4 linked regions of the Arabidopsis thaliana genome follow. The protein of the gene in region 1 interacts with the protein of each later gene in a biochemical or structural test. Each region holds a gene or a part of one and is shown in the gene's direction. Other genes may lie near its edges. The genes, in order: HY5, BZR1, FHY1 and FHY3.

Region 1 (4,164 bases):
TTCGTCGTCAGGATTATCCGTCAACAGAGTTCTGTTTCGGAATCGGAACGCTAGTCCTTGTGGTCTATCTCTTCCAATTCTCAATCCGTCTCGGTCTGTACTTGTTTTTGCTCGTGGCAAGAATCGAAAAGGATTCGTGTCTTCGTCTTCTTCGTCTCCGAAGAAAAACAAAAAGGTAAGAAAATCAGAATGAGAATGATTTATGTTCGCAATTGCTCTTACCTGCTGCTTTCGCCGAATTTGACTAGAATTTGGATACACTAACTAAGTGAGCTATTATCGGTTAGAATTGGTGAATCCTCGAATTAGACTTTGGCTCTTTTTGATTTTGTATCAGCCTTTGATTTCATGGTTTGTGGCAGAAAAGTTTGGATGGAGCTGATAATGGAGGAGGTGAGGAGGAGGAGGATCCATTTGAGGCATTGTTTAATCTTTTAGAAGAAGATTTGAAGAATGATAACTCGGATGATGAGGAGATAAGTGAGGAAGAGTTAGAGGCATTAGCCGATGAGTTAGCTCGAGCATTGGGTGTTGGTGACGATGTTGATGACATCGACTTGTTTGGTTCAGTCACTGGTGATGTTGATGTTGATGTTGATAATGATGATGATGATAATGATGATGATGATAATGATGATGATGATGATGACAGCGAAGAAGATGAAAGACCGACTAAGCTGAAGAATTGGCAGCTTAAAAGACTGGCTTATGCATTGAAAGCTGGGCGTCGTAAAACTAGTGTAAGTTTTAGTTCAGTGTTGAAGTGATGTTGAATACATTGTGTAAAGCATAGTGCTTGAGTTAGTGTCTGCTTTGGAGATTTTGCTTACGAATTGTTTAAGAGTTGACAAAGAACAAGTAGTTCTCTGGTTTTCAAATGCATAATTGATAACGGATGGTTTTGTTGTGATCTGTAGATTAAAAATCTGGCAGCTGAGGTTTGTCTTGACAGGGCTTATGTTCTTGAATTGCTTCGTGACCCGCCTCCAAAGCTGCTAATGCTAAGTGCTACACTACCAGATGAAAAACCGCCAGTAGCAGCACCTGAGAACTCCTCACCTGATCCAAGTCCTGTGGAATCATTATCAGCTGAAGATGTTGTGGTCGAACCTAAGGAAAAAGTAAAAGATGAAGCAGTTCATGTGATGCAACAGAGATGGTCTGCTCAGAAAAGAGTGAAGAAAGCTCACATTGAAACGCTAGAGAAAGTTTACAGAAGATCAAAACGACCCACTGTAAGGATTCTCCTTTTACATTTGAATCAATTTCTATGTTACTTGAATGCTCTATCTCACATATGATCATGTTTGATGATGCTGTGAATAGAATGCTGTGGTTAGCAGCATTGTTCAAGTGACCAATCTTCCAAGGAAGCGAGTTTTGAAGTGGTTCGAAGATAAAAGAGCAGAAGACGGAGTTCCAGATAAGCGAGCTCCATATCAAGCTCCGGTTTGATCTAATGTTAACGTTGAGATGGCAATGATTTGTATACTTGATTCTCAGAAACTCATCAACATTGTCGTCAAGGACAAGTTTTTTTGGTGATACGAGGAGTGTTTATAGTAGTAGATTCTGTCCAATGGTGTGGCTGGATATGTTGGACTATGAAATTTTAGGATATCTTGTATTCAGTTTTTAGTTATTTCCTTGCTGAGATTGTGTCTTGTAGAAAACCGTTTCAACTTTGTTTGGTTTATGGCGGCTATAAAGTTTAATTTTAATGCATGACAAAAACAAATCACCAAAAATAAAATAAATTACTTTCACGACACTTTTGAAAGCACTGCCCTAGGCGTGGGCCATGTGACAGAATGAAAGAACTCAGACCAAACTTTTCTGTCCAAGGACAGGAATGGGGCCCACCCAATTAGCTCCCCTATCCATTATTCACCGTAAGATGCTAACCAGATCTAACGGCTAAAATCCACCCACGTTCCAATCTCAATTGCCTTTGGATCCTTGTATTTCCTCAAGGCTCACCTTTCTCCACGATTCACTCTCGATATCCGTTCGATTCTTCAGAGATCTGACGGCGGTAGCCAGAGTAATCTATTCCTTCCCAAAATGTCTCGCAATTAGATTCTTTCCAAGTTCTTCTGTAAATCCCAAGTCCCGCTCTTTTCCTCTTTATCCTTTTCACCAGCTTCGCTACTAAGACAACAAATCTTTCCCTCTCTCTCTCGCCTGATCGATCTTCAAAGAGTAAGAAAAATGCAGGAACAAGCGACTAGCTCTTTAGCTGCAAGCTCTTTACCATCAAGCAGCGAGAGGTCATCAAGCTCTGCTCCACATTTGGAGATCAAAGAAGGTAAACAAAAATTGTCGATTGTTTTATTTTCATATCTTCTCCCAACGAGTGATCTCATTGATTTTCATTCTCATGCATTGGATATCTAGTAAATTCACATCTAGATTTTGTATCACCATTGATTCACATCTAGATTCACAACTTTTAGTCTCCCCCAGAAGATCTGCAATTTTTTATTGTATTTAAAAAGTTTGAAACTTTTCGTCTAAAGTCTCTTTTATGTTTTAAAGGAATTGAAAGCGATGAGGAGATACGGCGAGTGCCGGAGTTTGGAGGAGAAGCTGTCGGAAAAGAAACTTCCGGTAGAGAATCTGGATCGGCGACCGGTCAGGAGCGGACACAGGCGACTGTCGGAGAAAGTCAAAGGAAGCGAGGGAGGACACCGGCGGAGAAAGAGAACAAGCGGCTGAAGAGGTGTCTTTTTCTCTATTCATTGAATTTACATTTTTACCCTTTATATGGAAGGTGATTATGTTAAATAACGGTTGCGTGATGGGGTTGTTTGGTAATTTTGTGGTGAAAAGGTTGTTGAGGAACAGAGTTTCAGCTCAGCAAGCAAGAGAGAGGAAAAAGGCTTACTTGAGCGAGTTGGAAAACAGAGTGAAAGACTTGGAGAACAAAAACTCTGAACTTGAAGAGCGACTCTCTACTCTTCAGAACGAGAACCAGATGCTTAGACATGTACGTTTTGTCGATCTTACTGTTGACTTAACCTGCAACGTCAATGCTTTTGCCATTTGTTTTTTGATATATCACAGTACTGGTTTATCACATTTACGAGTCTAGGATTGACCAATAATTAGTTTAGTTAGTTAAAAGGATCTAAGAAGCTAACTTAAGCTTTAGATTAATTCTCAGAAGGCATGTAGGTTCTTGAAATGGTCATTCACTCGCATATTCTCTCAAAAGGCATGTAAATTCTTCAATGGTTCTTGAAATGCTCACTCATTTTGTTCTATATGAATGGAGAAGATGAGATTGCAAAGTTGGATCTCTATGTGTGTGTGTGGTAATAAAGTCTTTTGAGTTGTTATGTTTTTTATGTGGTGTAGATTCTGAAGAACACAACAGGAAACAAGAGAGGAGGTGGTGGTGGTTCTAATGCTGATGCAAGCCTTTGATCTCCTTCTTCTTCTTGTGTTATATTTTTGTGGATAAAATTTACAGAGAATTGTATCAATAATTATCATGTTAAAATTATATGGGATGTGAGAGCTAATATTGCAATTGTAGACCAAGTTCTCTTATTGTAGTCTTAGATTTCTCTTAATTGAAACATAATGTTGTTTTATAACAAAAATAAGCTAATTTTTGTTCTATGATATGACATTGTGACACTGTAGTAGAAAGGTTGCGTTTTCGATTCCCGCAGTTCAAAGTCCCAAACAAATTCTGGGATAGTGGAATCTTTACTCTTTTTTTTTTCCTTTTTGCCCCTATCCCTCCCGATTTCTTACAGACAAGTCGCCATGGATTTGTAAACGAAGATGCCGTTGATCATATTATGCGGAAATCGGACAAAGAGGGTAGGGTCGATCTTTTACAGCCAAAGCTTGTCAAGCTCGAGAGATGAGCAATCATGTAAGTGTTTTCTTACACTTTTGCTTTCCTTTTTCTAAAATCCATGGAATCCAGACATTGTTTTCTGTCACTGCTACCTTGAACTTGCTGCTCCCTTCTTAGAATCGGGTTGCCACAACCGAATTTCATGGACAAAATCGTACATTTCTTTACCTGTTGTATGCTTTCTGATTCTTTGTTTTCTATTTTAGATTTTTCGTGGATCTCATCTTCATCTATTGCTAGTTGCTAGTGTACTATGGATTGTTTGACATTATTTCTCATGCTTTTGAGGA
Region 2 (4,635 bases), on another chromosome or scaffold:
TGTAATGTCTACACGCGATCGACGTGAATATGAATGGTTGACTGGGTTTTTTCAAAATAAAAAAAAAGTCAGGAGTTATGGGGCCCATGCATGCGTAAGTTACGATTATACCCCTATTGTTTATTTGTTTTCGTTCCTCTCCAATGTAATTTGAATTTGAAATCACGCCTCTATTAAATATGTCATCGTATAATGTCCATATTGAACATTTAACTAAACTAAAACAATGTTCATGGAGTGATTCTTAAGCCAACATTTTTTCTTGTTCAAGACATAGCATTTTGTAAGTTTGATGGTTTAAAGTAATGTACTTATTGTCCAAAACGAGTTAGCTAGGTAACATGGAGTTAATCGGAAAAACAGAACATATTTCCAAAAAAAACATACTTAACACATAATCTACTTATTATCACAAGTAGGTTACTAGTGCCAAACCAAAGAAGAAAACCCCTAAATTCCTTTTAATGCTAGAAACGAAAGCTGGTATTAAGATTTAACTGATGATTTAAAACGTATCACCAATAATTAACACATAATCGCTCGATTAGCAACAAAGTCGTTGTAGTATAGTGGTAAGTATTCCCGCCTGTCACGCGGGTGACCCGGGTTCGATCCCCGGCAACGGCGATTACTTTAGTTTTGCCTAATTCATCGAACCCTCTGATTCATTCCAAATGTTTCCCAACTCGCGTTGATGGTTCGGGTTCCTCTGCTTTTAAGACATTAGTTACATGCTCCTGCACTTTCTACAAAATAAACGTCATAATCCAAAAATATTACATGATCATACATCATATATGCCGCCGAACCTTGTTATGGGACAAACTCGTAAACCCCTTTTTCCTTTTATGTTCAATGAACTATACAAGTTTTGGTTATGAATACATAAATAATGATGGACCCAGCAATTAATCCAAAATTTGGATATTAGATACTAAAGCTTAAAATCAACATGTAACCAAACTAAATACTTTATAGAACATAGTAAATGGTATTCACCAATCTTTATATCATTTGTAAGGTACGAAGAAGGTAAAAAAAAGAGAGAGCCAGTGTACATACAACTAATCAGGACAAAAGTAGTCAAAATTGTTTCTAAAGTGAGATTTGTATGCAAGAAAAAAGTGATAATTTTTAATTGAATATATCATTATGATGTTAATCACACGGCTTCACTGTATAAAATAAAATTTTAAAAACCAATCAAATGGTGTGTTTTTCGGTCACACAAGTAAGGGACCCACACTGAAGAAACGGTCCCACTGTGTCTCCTCCTTTCTTTTCTCTGTATTATTTGGTCATTACTCATTTTACATACTCACAGAAAAAAAAAAAGATTAGAACATAAACACACGTTACTAAGCGTAGTTATCCTCTGCACCTTAACATACACCTCTTATATTCACCTCACGTAATCTCACCCTTCCAAAACCATGTATTTACACGTGGACGATCGATACACAAGAACAATGATTCTTAATATGAACTCAATGTACTTGAACACACACACGACCCAATTTTTACATTAGATGAAAAAAATATTATTATTTGTTGGAGAAGAAAGAGAGATTCTTCTTCTTCGATTCCAGCGAAGGAAAAGCGTATTCCTCGTGAGCACTAACTTCTCACTCCTCTCTTCTTCTTCTTCATCAGTCTACGTTCACACAATCTTTCACCCACCTATTCAAAGCTCTCTCCGGAAGTTTCGAGGGGTTGGTTGTTGGTTTTCCCGATGACTTCGGATGGAGCTACGTCGACATCAGCAGCTGCAGCTGCGGCGGCGGCAGCAGCGGCGAGGAGGAAGCCGTCGTGGAGAGAAAGGGAGAATAATCGGAGGAGAGAAAGACGGAGAAGAGCTGTAGCTGCGAAGATATACACTGGGCTTAGAGCTCAAGGTGATTATAATTTGCCTAAACATTGTGATAATAATGAAGTCCTTAAAGCTCTTTGTGTTGAAGCTGGTTGGGTTGTTGAAGAAGATGGTACTACTTATCGCAAGGTGAAGACTTTCTCCATTTTTTCCAGATCTGAGCTTGTTTTATTGATGTTTTTGATGTTTGAATCTGAATTCGTTGATTTCAATTGTGGTTAAATGGGTTTGAATCTGAGAATTTGAGGGTTTTCTCAAAGTGAATTTGAATCATCAGAAACTATGGATGGATCTGATTTCTCAAAGTGAATTTATGGGTTTTCTTTCTAATTTTAGAGTTATTATTGGTATGCTAAAGTCTTAATCTTTTATGTATGATACTTGGTCCAAAGTCATTGCATTGTGTTTCTTTTGCTTACCTGTGATTGATTGATGTTTGATTGGTTATTGTTTTGCTTTTGTTGGAGTATCAGGGATGCAAGCCTTTACCTGGTGAGATAGCTGGGACTTCATCTCGAGTAACTCCATATTCATCACAGAACCAGAGCCCTCTTTCATCAGCCTTTCAAAGTCCCATCCCATCTTACCAAGTTAGCCCGTCTTCTTCATCATTCCCGAGTCCTTCTCGCGGTGAACCAAATAACAACATGTCCTCTACATTCTTCCCTTTCCTCAGAAATGGTGGCATTCCTTCTTCTCTTCCTTCCCTCAGAATCTCAAACAGTTGTCCAGTTACCCCACCGGTCTCATCGCCGACTTCTAAGAACCCGAAACCGTTGCCTAACTGGGAATCTATCGCTAAGCAATCCATGGCCATTGCTAAACAATCAATGGCGTCTTTTAATTATCCTTTCTATGCGGTTTCTGCACCTGCTAGTCCGACACATCGCCACCAGTTTCATACCCCGGCTACTATACCTGAATGTGATGAGTCTGACTCTTCCACTGTTGATTCTGGTCATTGGATAAGCTTTCAGAAGTTTGCACAACAACAGCCATTCTCTGCCTCTATGGTGCCAACCTCTCCTACCTTCAATCTTGTGAAACCTGCGCCTCAGCAGATGTCTCCAAATACTGCTGCCTTCCAAGAGATTGGTCAAAGCTCTGAGTTTAAATTTGAGAATAGCCAAGTTAAACCCTGGGAAGGAGAGAGGATACATGATGTGGGTATGGAGGATCTTGAGCTTACACTTGGAAATGGGAAGGCTCGTGGTTGACATAAACAACTAGGCAAACCCAAATGGCATGTCATTGGAATATGAGAAACTAATCCTCTTGAGTATTTTCTTCTTCGTCCAGGTATTTGGATCTTTATGGAATCTCATATGTTCTTCACTTATTATCCAAATATGCTGCCCAAAGCCTTCTCCATGGAAGCATTGGAGTGTTAGAGTGGTTATTCAATTCATGAATTTGGTTTCAAAAGCATTATTTGTAGATAAAAAAATCTTAAGATGTATGATTCTGTTTCCTTACATATGTTACATTAATTAGTGGCTTGAAACTGTCTTGTGTCTTGTCAAATTGCTTAGTCATATATCATTTCTTGAGCCGATTCTGTCTCTTAGCATCAAGATCCAAAATTTGCAAAAACATTTGCTTTTACAAAATGTTAAATTCTTTATTTCCCTGCAATCAATCTTTTGGTCAAACACTAACACATCATCAAATATCTAGTTAGACAAAGCTAGCTAGGATAGTAGCATAATCAATGAACACAGCTAGCTACAAATGGTACATTCCATAACGAATACAAACACTGGTCACTCATCTTCTTAATAGTCCAATCCCTGTTTCTGATCAAACAAGTAATGGAGAATGCAGATCCAGTTTGGTTTCAGTCTCATGGCTTTTTGTTTCTCTCTCAGTCTCAACATTACATTCTTGGTATCTGAAACAAGCTGTGAGATGATCATTAACAATGCCAGAGGCCTGCAAGAAGGAATACATAACAGTAGGACCAACGCAGCGAAACCCTCTCTGCATCATATCTTTGCTAATGTACTCTGCCTTTGGGGACTTAACCGGTACTTGACGACCATATCGATAGCCATTTCTTAATGGCTTGTGGTTCACAAATCTCCAACAATAATTACTGAACGATCCAAATTCCTGCTTGACCTGTTTTCAGATTACAACCAAAGCTATTTCAGTAAACACATAGTATCTACAATTTCATAGCAAAACACACAGTGCCTACCTTGAGAACAGATTTCGCGTTCTCTACAATTGCTCGCAGTTTCTGTTCGGATAGAATTAGACACCCATTAACTCTAAGAGACATCAACCTCTTCTCTGTGAATTGTGCTATAGCTGAAGGATCAAACTCTTCAAAGAGCTTCCTACAAAAAAGAAACCAAAACTTCTGATATCACACCAAACCAAAACACAAAATAGCAAATTCACCGTCCTAAGTTTACCTAAAGTCGTCTCTTCTGCGTAGGATTGAAGGCCAGCTAAACTCAGCCAAAGCTTGTGAGAAGACAAGTAGCTCGAAGAGTTTCTTGTCATCACGAACTGGAACACCCCATTCCTCGTCGTGGAACAAAACATAGATCGGGTCTGTTTGATCAATCACCATTATTATTATTAACTGAAAAACTTACATATCCAATGTCATCAATCATCTTCTACATTTTTTTTTGTCCTTATTTATCAACTACAATACCTAGTTTTTGCTAGGTGCAATTAATGTGTTGTTGACATCTATGAAAACTGATTGTAACCTTTATTAACTTTAACGTATTATCAAAACAAAATTACAT
Region 3 (3,860 bases), on another chromosome or scaffold:
TCTAGTTACTTTCTTCCCATTAGATCTGCAACTTGTTCAAGTGTTCTGGTTGCATAACGATTCTCTAGTAATGCTGATTTTTGTTATACCAATTAGAAGTTGGCCTTGTCTGCTTTGATTGGCTTCATATCTTTTTCATGTTGACATGTATGCTTAATTCAAGTGCATTTGTATCTAGTTGGGATTGTATAACATTCATTGGCTCAAAGAGATTGTTTATTCATAATGAACCTAAAGATGAGGAACACACATGTTTTTATGCTGTGCTGCAGGCATTTTCTGGTACGCAAAATGTCTCTAATCAACAGAAGGAGGAAGCTTGGAGAGTCAACGTCCAGATACAGGGTATTGACCTTGAACATGGTTATCTTTGTGGCACCATGGAAGCTCTAAACGTTCCCATGGCAGACACTCCTGTAAGCCCTTACACTCTTACTCATTTTTTCTTCATATTGCTTCCCCTTGAATTTCTAATAGGGGACACGATTCTTGATTCTGTGAGTGTCAGGTCATAACATTCTGGGAAGGGGAAATCGTTGATGGAAAGAATTATACCTTTTACACCGGAAAATGGGAAGCAACGTATGTCCCAATTCCTATATTCTTGTAGATTTGAAACTGATGATTTCTTATCGTGAATAAATTTTTGAAAGTTTGTTTGTCACAGGAGGGAAGATGATATGAGACATTGGTCAAAGTTCCCGTCTTTTTCGCCTCTTCAGGTAACACTCGAGTAACATTGTTTGTATAGTCAGTAACATCTCCTAAGCAACGTTCTGGACTTAATACTGCAGGGACAAGTTGAATCTGATGGTGGCAGGCAATTGGATCTTAACAATTATCCTTATATATTTATGGTATAACTCTCAGTTTTTCCTATCGAATCCAATCATCATTTTCTCTCAAGTATTCCATAATTCCTGCAACTCGGGTTTATTTTTGTGGTGGTGCAGAGATGGAAAGAGCAATACTTTGTAAACGTTGGCACAGATTGTGGACTAACAATAGCTGGATTTTACTACGTATGCTTCTCCTGCAGCGATGGTTCCATCAGCGGTTTCTATTATGATCCAAACAGCAGGTTAGTCCAAGATACAAACTATATAATCTGTTGTTGTTTGAGATAAAACCTGATGATATTTTGTTTCTGGACAGTCCGTTTCAGAAGCTGGAGCTGAAAACAGTTAACGAAGGAAGATCTGGTTTCAGCTTTTCTTCTTACGAGTTGCAATGATGAATGCTACCAAAATCATCAGACAGCGCCATATGATACTCTCGTCTAAACATGCGATGCACGTGATCCAGTACATTATGACGTGTCAATTATTATAAATTATTAGTAAGATATTTTTTTGCTTAGCTAGTAGACCAGACCAAGTAAAGAACTAAAAATACTATTTTGTCATTATGGTACCAAGCTAATAGTTTATCTGGAAAAAGAACAAATTGTCCAAAAAAATAATTACCAAATAGTTGAGAAGTTTTTCTAAAAATTTTTGTAAAAAAAATCCAAATTCTTCTAAAATTAAGTTTTTAATAGAAATTTAAAAAGACAGTTCTACATCATATTATTTTCTTTAAATAATGATATAAAATTTATAAACTATTATCTTTGTAAGATAATGAATATTTATACCTATGTAAGGGAAAAATTGATAAATATTTATACATCCTCATCCAAAAGCCCATAAAATCGTTATGGGACAATAGTAAAAAAGATTGCAAAATCGTATGGAGCGAAAGATAAAAATAAAAAACGGTCCCGTGTAAGAAGATGGGTCACCTCGCCAACACGTAGACTCTTTTCACGCGCCAAATCAAACACCATGTCGACGAGATCAACGGATTCAAATGTTTCGTGTAATACACGCTCCAACGTAGCGCGTCGTACACTTGATGCTTAATTTATGTATTTTAAGTTACGCAGTTTCCAGATTTTCAGACCCTCTGAAAGTGGAAAGAGCATTTTTTAAAAGAGTAATAAGAAAAACAATTATCTTTGAACTCTCTCTATCTCTCTCTCTCTCTCTGCGATCTATGCCTGAAGTGGAAGTGGATAACAACAACGAGAAGCCATCTGAGATTAACAGGTTTCAGTTTCTCAATCTATTCCTATATATTATCATTAGAGATCAAATTTCTTATTATGCTTCTTCTCAGTTTCTTTAAGATACAGAGGATTGACTGATTATGTATGTATTCATGTCAATGGTTGACCAAAAATCATAGCTGCAGAGGATGATTGAAGTTTTATCTTGATTTTAGCTTATTTAATCGTTGAGATTAAGAAAGTTTTCCTGTTATTCTTTCCTAAACCCTTATTAAGTTCAAGATTAATAAAGTCAATTTCATATATTTGGTGATTAAGATCCATCCACTATCTTAATATGTGTTGTTCTTTTTTTTTGCAGTTTCCATCACATGATCATAAGTAGTAGTAAAAATGTGTTGAAAATGGAAGAAGTTGAGGTGAGCAAGAAGAGGAAATTTCAGACAGATCAATCTGATGAGTTATCGTTATTACCTCTGTCAAAACACACTTGTTTTGCCAATGTTGCTTGTTCAGAGAATACAAATGGTAACTCGGAGATTGATACAGAGTATTCAATGTCTTCTTATGTGAACTCAACAACTTCTATGGAGTGTAACAATGATATAGAGATGAAAGAGGAATCATCTGGATCATGCGGTGAAGACAAGATGATCTCTTTCGAAAGCCATCTAGATTACATCTATGGGACTCAGAACTTAGAGGATTTTTCAGAGAAAGTCATTGAAAACATTCTCTATCTCGATGAACAAGAAGAAGAAGAGGAAGATGCTAAAGGATGTAGTAGTAATGCTGCTAAGTTTGTTCTGTCCTCTGGAAGATGGACTGTTAACCAAGGTAAAGAAAACCGGATTTTGGTTTGACCGTATTGATTCAATGAACCGGGGATTCACTAACTTGGTTTCATGTGTACAGATGATTCTACTCTACATGAGACAAAGAAGCCTACCATTGATCAAGAATTTGAACAATACTTCTCAACGCTAATGCTGTAACAAAATGATGTTGAGACTCAAAACATATATGAAGAGATGTATGTACATAGAACTGTACTCGTTCTGTTTTGATTCTTGTCAACCTTAAAAAAACGTTCAATTCAAAGTGATTAGAGAGCTTCTTTGAAATGTTTGCAACTCTAGTCTTCAACTTTTAAGATTTTTATTAGCTTGCAAAACTAATCTTGCTTATATATCTTGTTCTGCCTGGATCAGAAATAAAAGTTAGTATAAAAAAATTCTGAGATGATTATGACACTCTGATCCTTCATATGAACCAATCTTGTGTTCAAGAGTATCCCTGATGTATTTCAGTACCAACTTAACTGAGAAATGAGAGTCAATGTTCTTTAATAAGTTTGTTCAGATGATATCTTCTTCTTTTTTTGGTTGGTCACCTATATTCAATCTGCTCTCTCCAAATTATCTCCAATACACTCTCTTCTGAACATAATACAAAAATTCATAACTTTTTCTTATTATGGTCAAAAGTCTTGTTAATATTCAACTTGTTCCTTTCTAATGTAAAATCTAAACTGATTTAATAAAGAAAAAGATGATAGCTTATTGATATTCTTCCTAGTAAAACATTTTGGCATGATGGTCAAGACTCAAGATTTGCTAGAATGTGGTTCCCTCGCATTATCAGTCTTCTTGGTCAATGTCTAGTAGTTTTAAATTCGCTATAAAAATAGCAAAAAAAAACAAAAACAAAAAATTGTTGATTAAAAAGAAATTAACACCAAACTTTAAAAATAGTTATCCTTAGTAATTTTATGTAAGTATCTTTAACACGTAAAGTCGAACATAGTATA
Region 4 (6,327 bases), on another chromosome or scaffold:
CACTAGAGTTTCCAGCCACGGTAGAACTCCTACTGACAACCGAAGGAGAAGCCTGCAACTGACTACCAGTTTCATCATAATTCCTTGATAAGCCACGAACCATGCCATCTCCATTCACGCCTGTATCAAATATCGACATGATTCTCGGATCCGCAGGATTGATTGCAGTACACCGAACATACAAAACAAACACAAGAATAGCCTGCAAAAACACACACGATACATAAAGGAACCTATCAGATAAGATCAATGCCATAAACTACACAGCTGTGGAATCCAAAACTCGTTATGAATTTGCAAAATTGATTCTGATCATAAACACTACTAGCTTGAGAAGCATTAAACATACCACGGGAGAGTAAACACCGATCAAAACGTATTCCCAAATACGACCTCCAACAAAAGGAGCGAAGAAAGCATAGAAAGCGACCACCAACAAGCAAAACACCGTAATTGCAATCACCTGAGAAGAAAAATACACAGAACCCAATTGAAATCACAGCCATTGGTGACTTTAGATTGAGCAGATTCATGAAAAATTGAAGCTTTGGCTATAGAGAAAGGTTACATTCGATTTTACCTGAAGAGTGTGAGCGGGAAGTTGCCAACCGTGTTTCCTCACCATACCTTCTTCTCCAACAACAATAAGCAAAGATAAACAAACTCTAATTTTCCGACAACGTCACCGTCACGTTGCCGTTCGCCACCGCCGGAGCGATTAAGTGAAGAGTGTTGTTGCTCGTTGAAAAGGGAAAGGGACTGAGAAAATATCGTCTCTCTCTGTTACTGTGGCAGGTTTAGTCTTAATTAAGTCCAAATGGTTGACCCAACTTTTACATTAGTGGATAATTAATTATAAATAATTTTGGTATTATAAATAATTTTGGCATAATTATAATTAAATTTCAGGATATTGGCTGGCTTTTTGTCAAAAAATATATGCTGTATTAAATTAAATCATGTCGGAAATAGTAAATTACCAACTGGCTATTGGCTATTGATTATGATATTTTATGAAATTTATTTTGAATTCATAAAATATTTCCAAAAATGGTATTTATTTTATTGTAGCTAATATGTAAAAAAAAGTTAGGAAATAATTTTTTTTTTACCAAACTTTTTAACATTAGTGGGACTAATTATAACTATGGTTTTTAAGACTGAGCTAATCTATATGTACAAAATTAAAAAGAACAGTGACTCATGCTAATGAGTGGCTATTGATTTATTTATTTTTTTGGACGGCTATTGATCTTTTTATTTTGGATCAAATATAATAAATTAATCCAATTCTGAAATAGTCATACCAATTGGCTCTTGGCTATTGAAAGTTGGTAAAAGCATTTACTAATATATATATATATATATAGTCCAAATTCAAAACTGATAGTTTGTAAATAACAAAAAAATATTTTGAATAGTTTACTATGATTTTTTTTTGTAATTCACCGTAATGTTTCAGTTTTCACCATAGTAAATACTTAGAAATACAAAATAAAATAATTCAAACAAGTCTTAGTCTTAGAGTGGACCAAACAAATTTTAAAAGCCTAAACAAGTCTACTCTTATAGATGTAAGTAAATCTCATCATTCCCATTATTCACGCTTCCCTCCAATTTTTGTTTTGGCATGCGCGTTGCACAAAATTTCAAACAAAAACAGTTTTTTTTTTTCTTTCTAATTTTATTTTATTAATAACATAAATAAATGGATAGAGATATTATTATTATCAAAAAACATGGTGATGCGTTTAGACAGAGAGAAGAAGAAGAAGAAACCCTAGACACCAAAAGAACGAATCGTGGATCTTCCGCCCACTCGCTTCCTCAGATCGCGTGAACACCACTCACCAATTTTTCTTCTCTTTCTCTCTTCTTCTTCTCTATCTCCTTTTCGCAGATCGATACCCCAACTCGCACCCGATTGGCGCGTGTTGTCTTCTTCTTCTTCCTCCTCTCGACGACGAAGAGATTAAAAAGAGACGGCCTTTTCTCAGTTTCTGCTCCGATTCGTATATCTTCTGTTTCGTACGAGGTAAAGTTTTCATTTTTATTTTTTGTTTTTGTTTTATAGTGATAACCAACACAAATGATTGGGTTATACAGTAGTTTTGATCAGCTTCGTTTTAGGAATTGGATTTGAGGATTTCGTTTATGTGATGAAATACCCACTAAGAATTTAGCTGCAAGTTGCTTTTTTCTGCAATTGTAAGGGCAAAATGTGTATACTTTCTCGATTTATCATCATAGAAAGATTGAATTTTGATGGGTTTCTCTGGTTTGTTACATCTTTTGTGTGTGACTTTAGTATACATTTTGACCTAGATATATGTACTGAGACCTAGATTTTGTCTTGCAGTGTTGTAAGACGTTTGTTTTGCCTGAGACTATAGGTTTGTCATGGATATAGATCTTCGACTACATTCAGGTGACCTTTGCAAAGGAGATGATGAGGATAGAGGACTTGATAATGTGTTACACAATGAAGAAGATATGGATATTGGCAAAATTGAGGATGTTTCTGTTGAGGTTAATACTGATGACAGTGTAGGCATGGGTGTTCCAACTGGGGAGTTGGTTGAGTACACTGAGGGTATGAATCTTGAACCTCTTAATGGTATGGAGTTTGAGTCACACGGTGAAGCGTATTCGTTTTACCAGGAGTATTCTCGAGCTATGGGGTTTAACACTGCGATACAGAACAGTCGTAGATCGAAAACTACAAGAGAGTTTATTGATGCGAAGTTTGCTTGCTCTAGGTATGGTACTAAAAGAGAATATGACAAATCTTTTAATCGGCCACGAGCTAGACAAAGTAAGCAAGATCCAGAGAATATGGCTGGTAGGAGAACATGTGCGAAAACCGATTGCAAAGCTAGTATGCATGTTAAGAGAAGGCCGGATGGGAAATGGGTAATTCACAGCTTTGTGAGGGAGCATAATCATGAGCTTTTACCTGCACAAGCTGTGAGTGAACAGACCAGAAAGATATATGCTGCAATGGCTAAGCAGTTTGCTGAGTACAAAACTGTTATAAGTCTAAAAAGCGATTCGAAAAGTTCTTTTGAAAAAGGTCGGACTTTATCAGTGGAAACAGGGGATTTCAAAATCCTGCTTGACTTCTTGTCACGGATGCAATCCTTGAATTCCAACTTCTTTTATGCAGTAGATCTGGGCGATGATCAGCGAGTGAAGAATGTATTTTGGGTAGATGCAAAGAGCAGGCATAACTATGGCAGTTTTTGTGATGTTGTTTCTCTAGACACCACCTACGTAAGAAACAAGTACAAGATGCCACTTGCTATTTTTGTTGGAGTGAACCAGCACTACCAGTATATGGTCCTTGGGTGCGCCTTAATATCCGATGAGAGTGCAGCAACATATTCTTGGTTAATGGAGACCTGGCTGAGAGCAATCGGTGGACAAGCTCCAAAGGTTTTGATCACTGAGCTAGACGTTGTAATGAACTCCATTGTTCCCGAAATCTTCCCCAATACACGGCATTGCCTTTTTCTTTGGCATGTATTGATGAAGGTTTCTGAGAATCTTGGTCAAGTTGTTAAGCAACATGATAATTTTATGCCTAAGTTTGAGAAGTGCATCTATAAATCAGGGAAAGATGAAGACTTTGCGAGAAAATGGTATAAGAATCTTGCTAGATTCGGCCTCAAAGATGATCAATGGATGATTTCTTTATATGAAGACCGCAAGAAATGGGCACCAACCTACATGACTGATGTTCTTTTGGCTGGGATGTCTACATCTCAACGAGCTGATAGTATTAATGCTTTCTTCGACAAGTATATGCATAAGAAGACTAGTGTACAAGAATTTGTAAAGGTATATGATACAGTTTTGCAAGATAGATGTGAAGAAGAAGCCAAAGCTGATTCTGAAATGTGGAACAAGCAGCCAGCAATGAAGTCTCCATCGCCATTTGAGAAGAGTGTTTCTGAAGTCTATACTCCTGCAGTTTTCAAAAAGTTCCAGATTGAAGTTTTGGGTGCGATTGCGTGTAGTCCTAGGGAGGAGAACCGAGATGCCACATGTTCTACTTTTAGAGTGCAGGATTTTGAAAACAACCAAGACTTCATGGTAACATGGAACCAAACAAAGGCTGAAGTCTCTTGCATCTGTCGGTTATTTGAGTATAAAGGGTATCTCTGCAGACACACTCTTAATGTTCTTCAGTGTTGTCATCTTTCTTCCATCCCCTCGCAGTACATATTGAAGCGGTGGACAAAAGATGCAAAAAGCCGGCATTTTTCAGGAGAACCTCAGCAGTTGCAGACTAGGCTGCTGCGGTATAACGATTTGTGCGAACGAGCATTAAAGCTGAATGAAGAGGCATCCCTCTCTCAAGAGAGTTACAATATTGCATTCCTTGCTATTGAAGGAGCTATAGGAAACTGTGCTGGTATTAATACTTCCGGCAGAAGTCTTCCAGATGTTGTAACGTCACCAACTCAAGGTCTGATTTCTGTGGAGGAGGACAACCATAGCAGAAGTGCAGGCAAAACCAGCAAGAAAAAGAATCCAACTAAGAAAAGAAAAGTAACTTACTTGTTTACGATCTCTCTGTGCAGACAGCTTATGGATTTTGTTCGCTTTGCGCTTTTATGCTTTGCAAATTTGATGATACCAAATACTAATTTCAGGTGAACCCAGAGCAGGATGTTATGCCAGTTGCAGCGCCAGAAAGCTTGCAACAGATGGTCTGTCTTTGTTGACATGTCGTGGCAAGCCTCTTTTAAACACAAGTCGCCTAAGTATGTCATATCTGAATTTTGTAATTGCAGGATAAGCTGAGCCCAAGGACGGTTGGCATTGAAAGCTATTATGGAACACAGCAGAGCGTACAAGGAATGGTAATTAAGCACAACATACGTTCATATTATTATCTAGATACGTATGTAATCTGTTTTGATATGTGTTTTTACAGGTCCAGCTGAACTTAATGGGGCCAACTCGCGATAATTTCTATGGGAATCAACAAACAATGCAAGGATTGGTATGAAATCGACCATGACATGTGTATAAGTAGCTTCTGCTGTTTTCTATTTCATTAACTTTGGATAAAAAAACAATTCCGGCTGGTTTTCTGTAGCGACAGTTGAACTCGATAGCACCAAGCTACGACAGTTACTACGGTCCTCAGCAAGGCATCCATGGACAGGTACCTACATACCTATTCTCAATGCTTTCATAAGTTTTGTCAATCTTGTAACAAGACTGCCAAAAAAGTAAAATCTTACTTTGTTCTTTCTAGGGAGTAGATTTCTTCAGGCCTGCCAATTTTTCTTACGACATCCGGGTAACTATTGCAGTTGTAATAAAAGATCTTTCTTTTTCCTGTTTGTATCAATTGGTCATCTTAGTTCATGGTGATTTCTGTGCAGGATGATCCTAATGTGAGGACTACGCAGTTGCATGAGGACGCGTCTAGACACTCGTAAACAAAACTATAAGTTAACCACGAATCAAATCTTAAGAGTCGTCAGTCTGTGGATGAAAGATTCAAATCTCGGAGAACAAAAGCCAACGAGCACTAGGACGCGGTTAGGTTTGGAACAGAACATGAGCCAAAGCTCTGTTTTATCTTCTCAAGTGTTAAAAATAGGATGTTGTATTGTTTCGCCTTTATTCTCAGAGATTCGATTCTGTTAATATTGTTTGTATTAGTTCTGATGATCATATGTTTGATCATTTGACTGTTCGATTTAAGAGGTGAAGAAACAGTGTTACAAGAATATTCTCTATTTGTAAACTCTTGTTAATTCTCTTGATTAGGTTTCTCAAATTTGTATCTTGTGATTAATCTTGCCCAAATTACAAACAAAATTGTGGTATGCTATTGGCGGTTTGAATCTTGTTGAAGAGAGGAGAGAGGGTTACATAGTATAAATATAAAATTCTTTAAAATCAGAGAAGGATCATAAATTTATTATTATTATTTTTGAGTAATCATAAACAATTTTTCTCTTCTTTTGGCAAATAGAGCTTTTAGGCAAATTATTAAAATGTGGCCTAACATTCTATTTTGTATAGAAGAAATTATTTAAATACTGTTATTAAAAAAAACATTAATGAATAAATACGATTTAGTAATTTAATGTAAAAAAACAAACAAAAATTTCTATAAATGTTAAAGAGATGAATTTTGTTTTCAAAATAAAGTCCTAAAACACATTAAAAATGTGATATATGTAGAAAAAAAATGTGGCGTTTTATTTGATTATTTTTTAGTGGCCTAAGGAAAATGCTTTTTTTCTTACATATCAAGCAAGACTCTCTTGCAATTGAGACTCATTTTTCGTTTATTGTTCC

The links.
Region 2: the proteins of HY5 (region 1) and BZR1 form a complex in vitro, tested with the Arabidopsis thaliana proteins (one study listed by BioGRID).
Region 3: the proteins of HY5 (region 1) and FHY1 form a complex in vitro, tested with the Arabidopsis thaliana proteins (one study listed by BioGRID).
Region 4: the proteins of HY5 (region 1) and FHY3 form a complex in vitro, tested with the Arabidopsis thaliana proteins (2 studies listed by BioGRID).

What each region holds. Positions count from the first base shown.
Region 1 is NC_003076.8:3,592,848-3,597,011, reverse strand, and holds HY5 (Basic-leucine zipper (bZIP) transcription factor family protein), read left to right. Parts: upstream 1-2,008; 5' UTR 2,009-2,211; coding exon 2,212-2,308; intron 2,309-2,538; coding exon 2,539-2,722; intron 2,723-2,832; coding exon 2,833-3,094; 3' UTR 3,095-3,217; intron 3,218-3,360; coding exon of another isoform or gene 3,361-3,429; 3' UTR 3,430-3,651; downstream 3,652-4,164. Other genes in the region: OCP3 (overexpressor of cationic peroxidase 3), read left to right, coding at 1-175, 363-740, 918-1,235, 1,327-1,455.
Region 2 is NC_003070.9:28,183,977-28,188,611, forward strand, and holds BZR1 (Brassinosteroid signaling positive regulator (BZR1) family protein), read left to right. Parts: upstream 1-1,527; 5' UTR 1,528-1,732; coding exon 1,733-1,999; intron 2,000-2,343; coding exon 2,344-3,087; 3' UTR 3,088-3,169; exon of another isoform or gene 3,170-3,434; intron 3,435-3,470; exon of another isoform or gene 3,471-3,670; coding exon of another isoform or gene 3,671-3,991; 3' UTR 3,992-4,070; downstream 4,071-4,635. Other genes in the region: AT1G75090 (DNA glycosylase superfamily protein), read right to left, coding at 3,671-3,991, 4,071-4,212, 4,291-4,432.
Region 3 is NC_003071.7:15,800,874-15,804,733, reverse strand, and holds FHY1 (far-red elongated hypocotyl 1), read left to right. Parts: upstream 1-1,940; 5' UTR 1,941-2,037; coding exon 2,038-2,090; intron 2,091-2,411; coding exon 2,412-2,887; coding exon of another isoform or gene 2,888-2,913; exon of another isoform or gene 2,914-2,965; coding exon 2,966-3,045; 3' UTR 3,046-3,316; downstream 3,317-3,860. Other genes in the region: AT2G37680 (glucose-induced degradation-like protein), read left to right, coding at 273-416, 509-582, 668-722, 795-857, 954-1,081, 1,156-1,234. UniProt on the Arabidopsis thaliana protein: Key regulator of far red / red (FR/R) spectrum-specific responses essential for the adaption to changing light conditions (e.g. de-etiolation), essentially by regulating PHYA shuttling from the cytoplasm to the nucleus and by directly regulating the expression of some target genes, depending on light conditions and phosphorylation status.
Region 4 is NC_003074.8:7,821,488-7,827,814, reverse strand, and holds FHY3 (far-red elongated hypocotyls 3), read left to right. Parts: upstream 1-1,618; 5' UTR 1,619-2,035; intron 2,036-2,359; 5' UTR 2,360-2,400; coding exon 2,401-4,554; intron 4,555-4,658; coding exon 4,659-4,715; intron 4,716-4,799; coding exon 4,800-4,868; intron 4,869-4,942; coding exon 4,943-5,011; intron 5,012-5,107; coding exon 5,108-5,176; intron 5,177-5,269; coding exon 5,270-5,314; intron 5,315-5,399; coding exon 5,400-5,456; 3' UTR 5,457-5,818; downstream 5,819-6,327. Other genes in the region: AT3G22180 (DHHC-type zinc finger family protein), read right to left, coding at 1-202, 350-463, 581-625.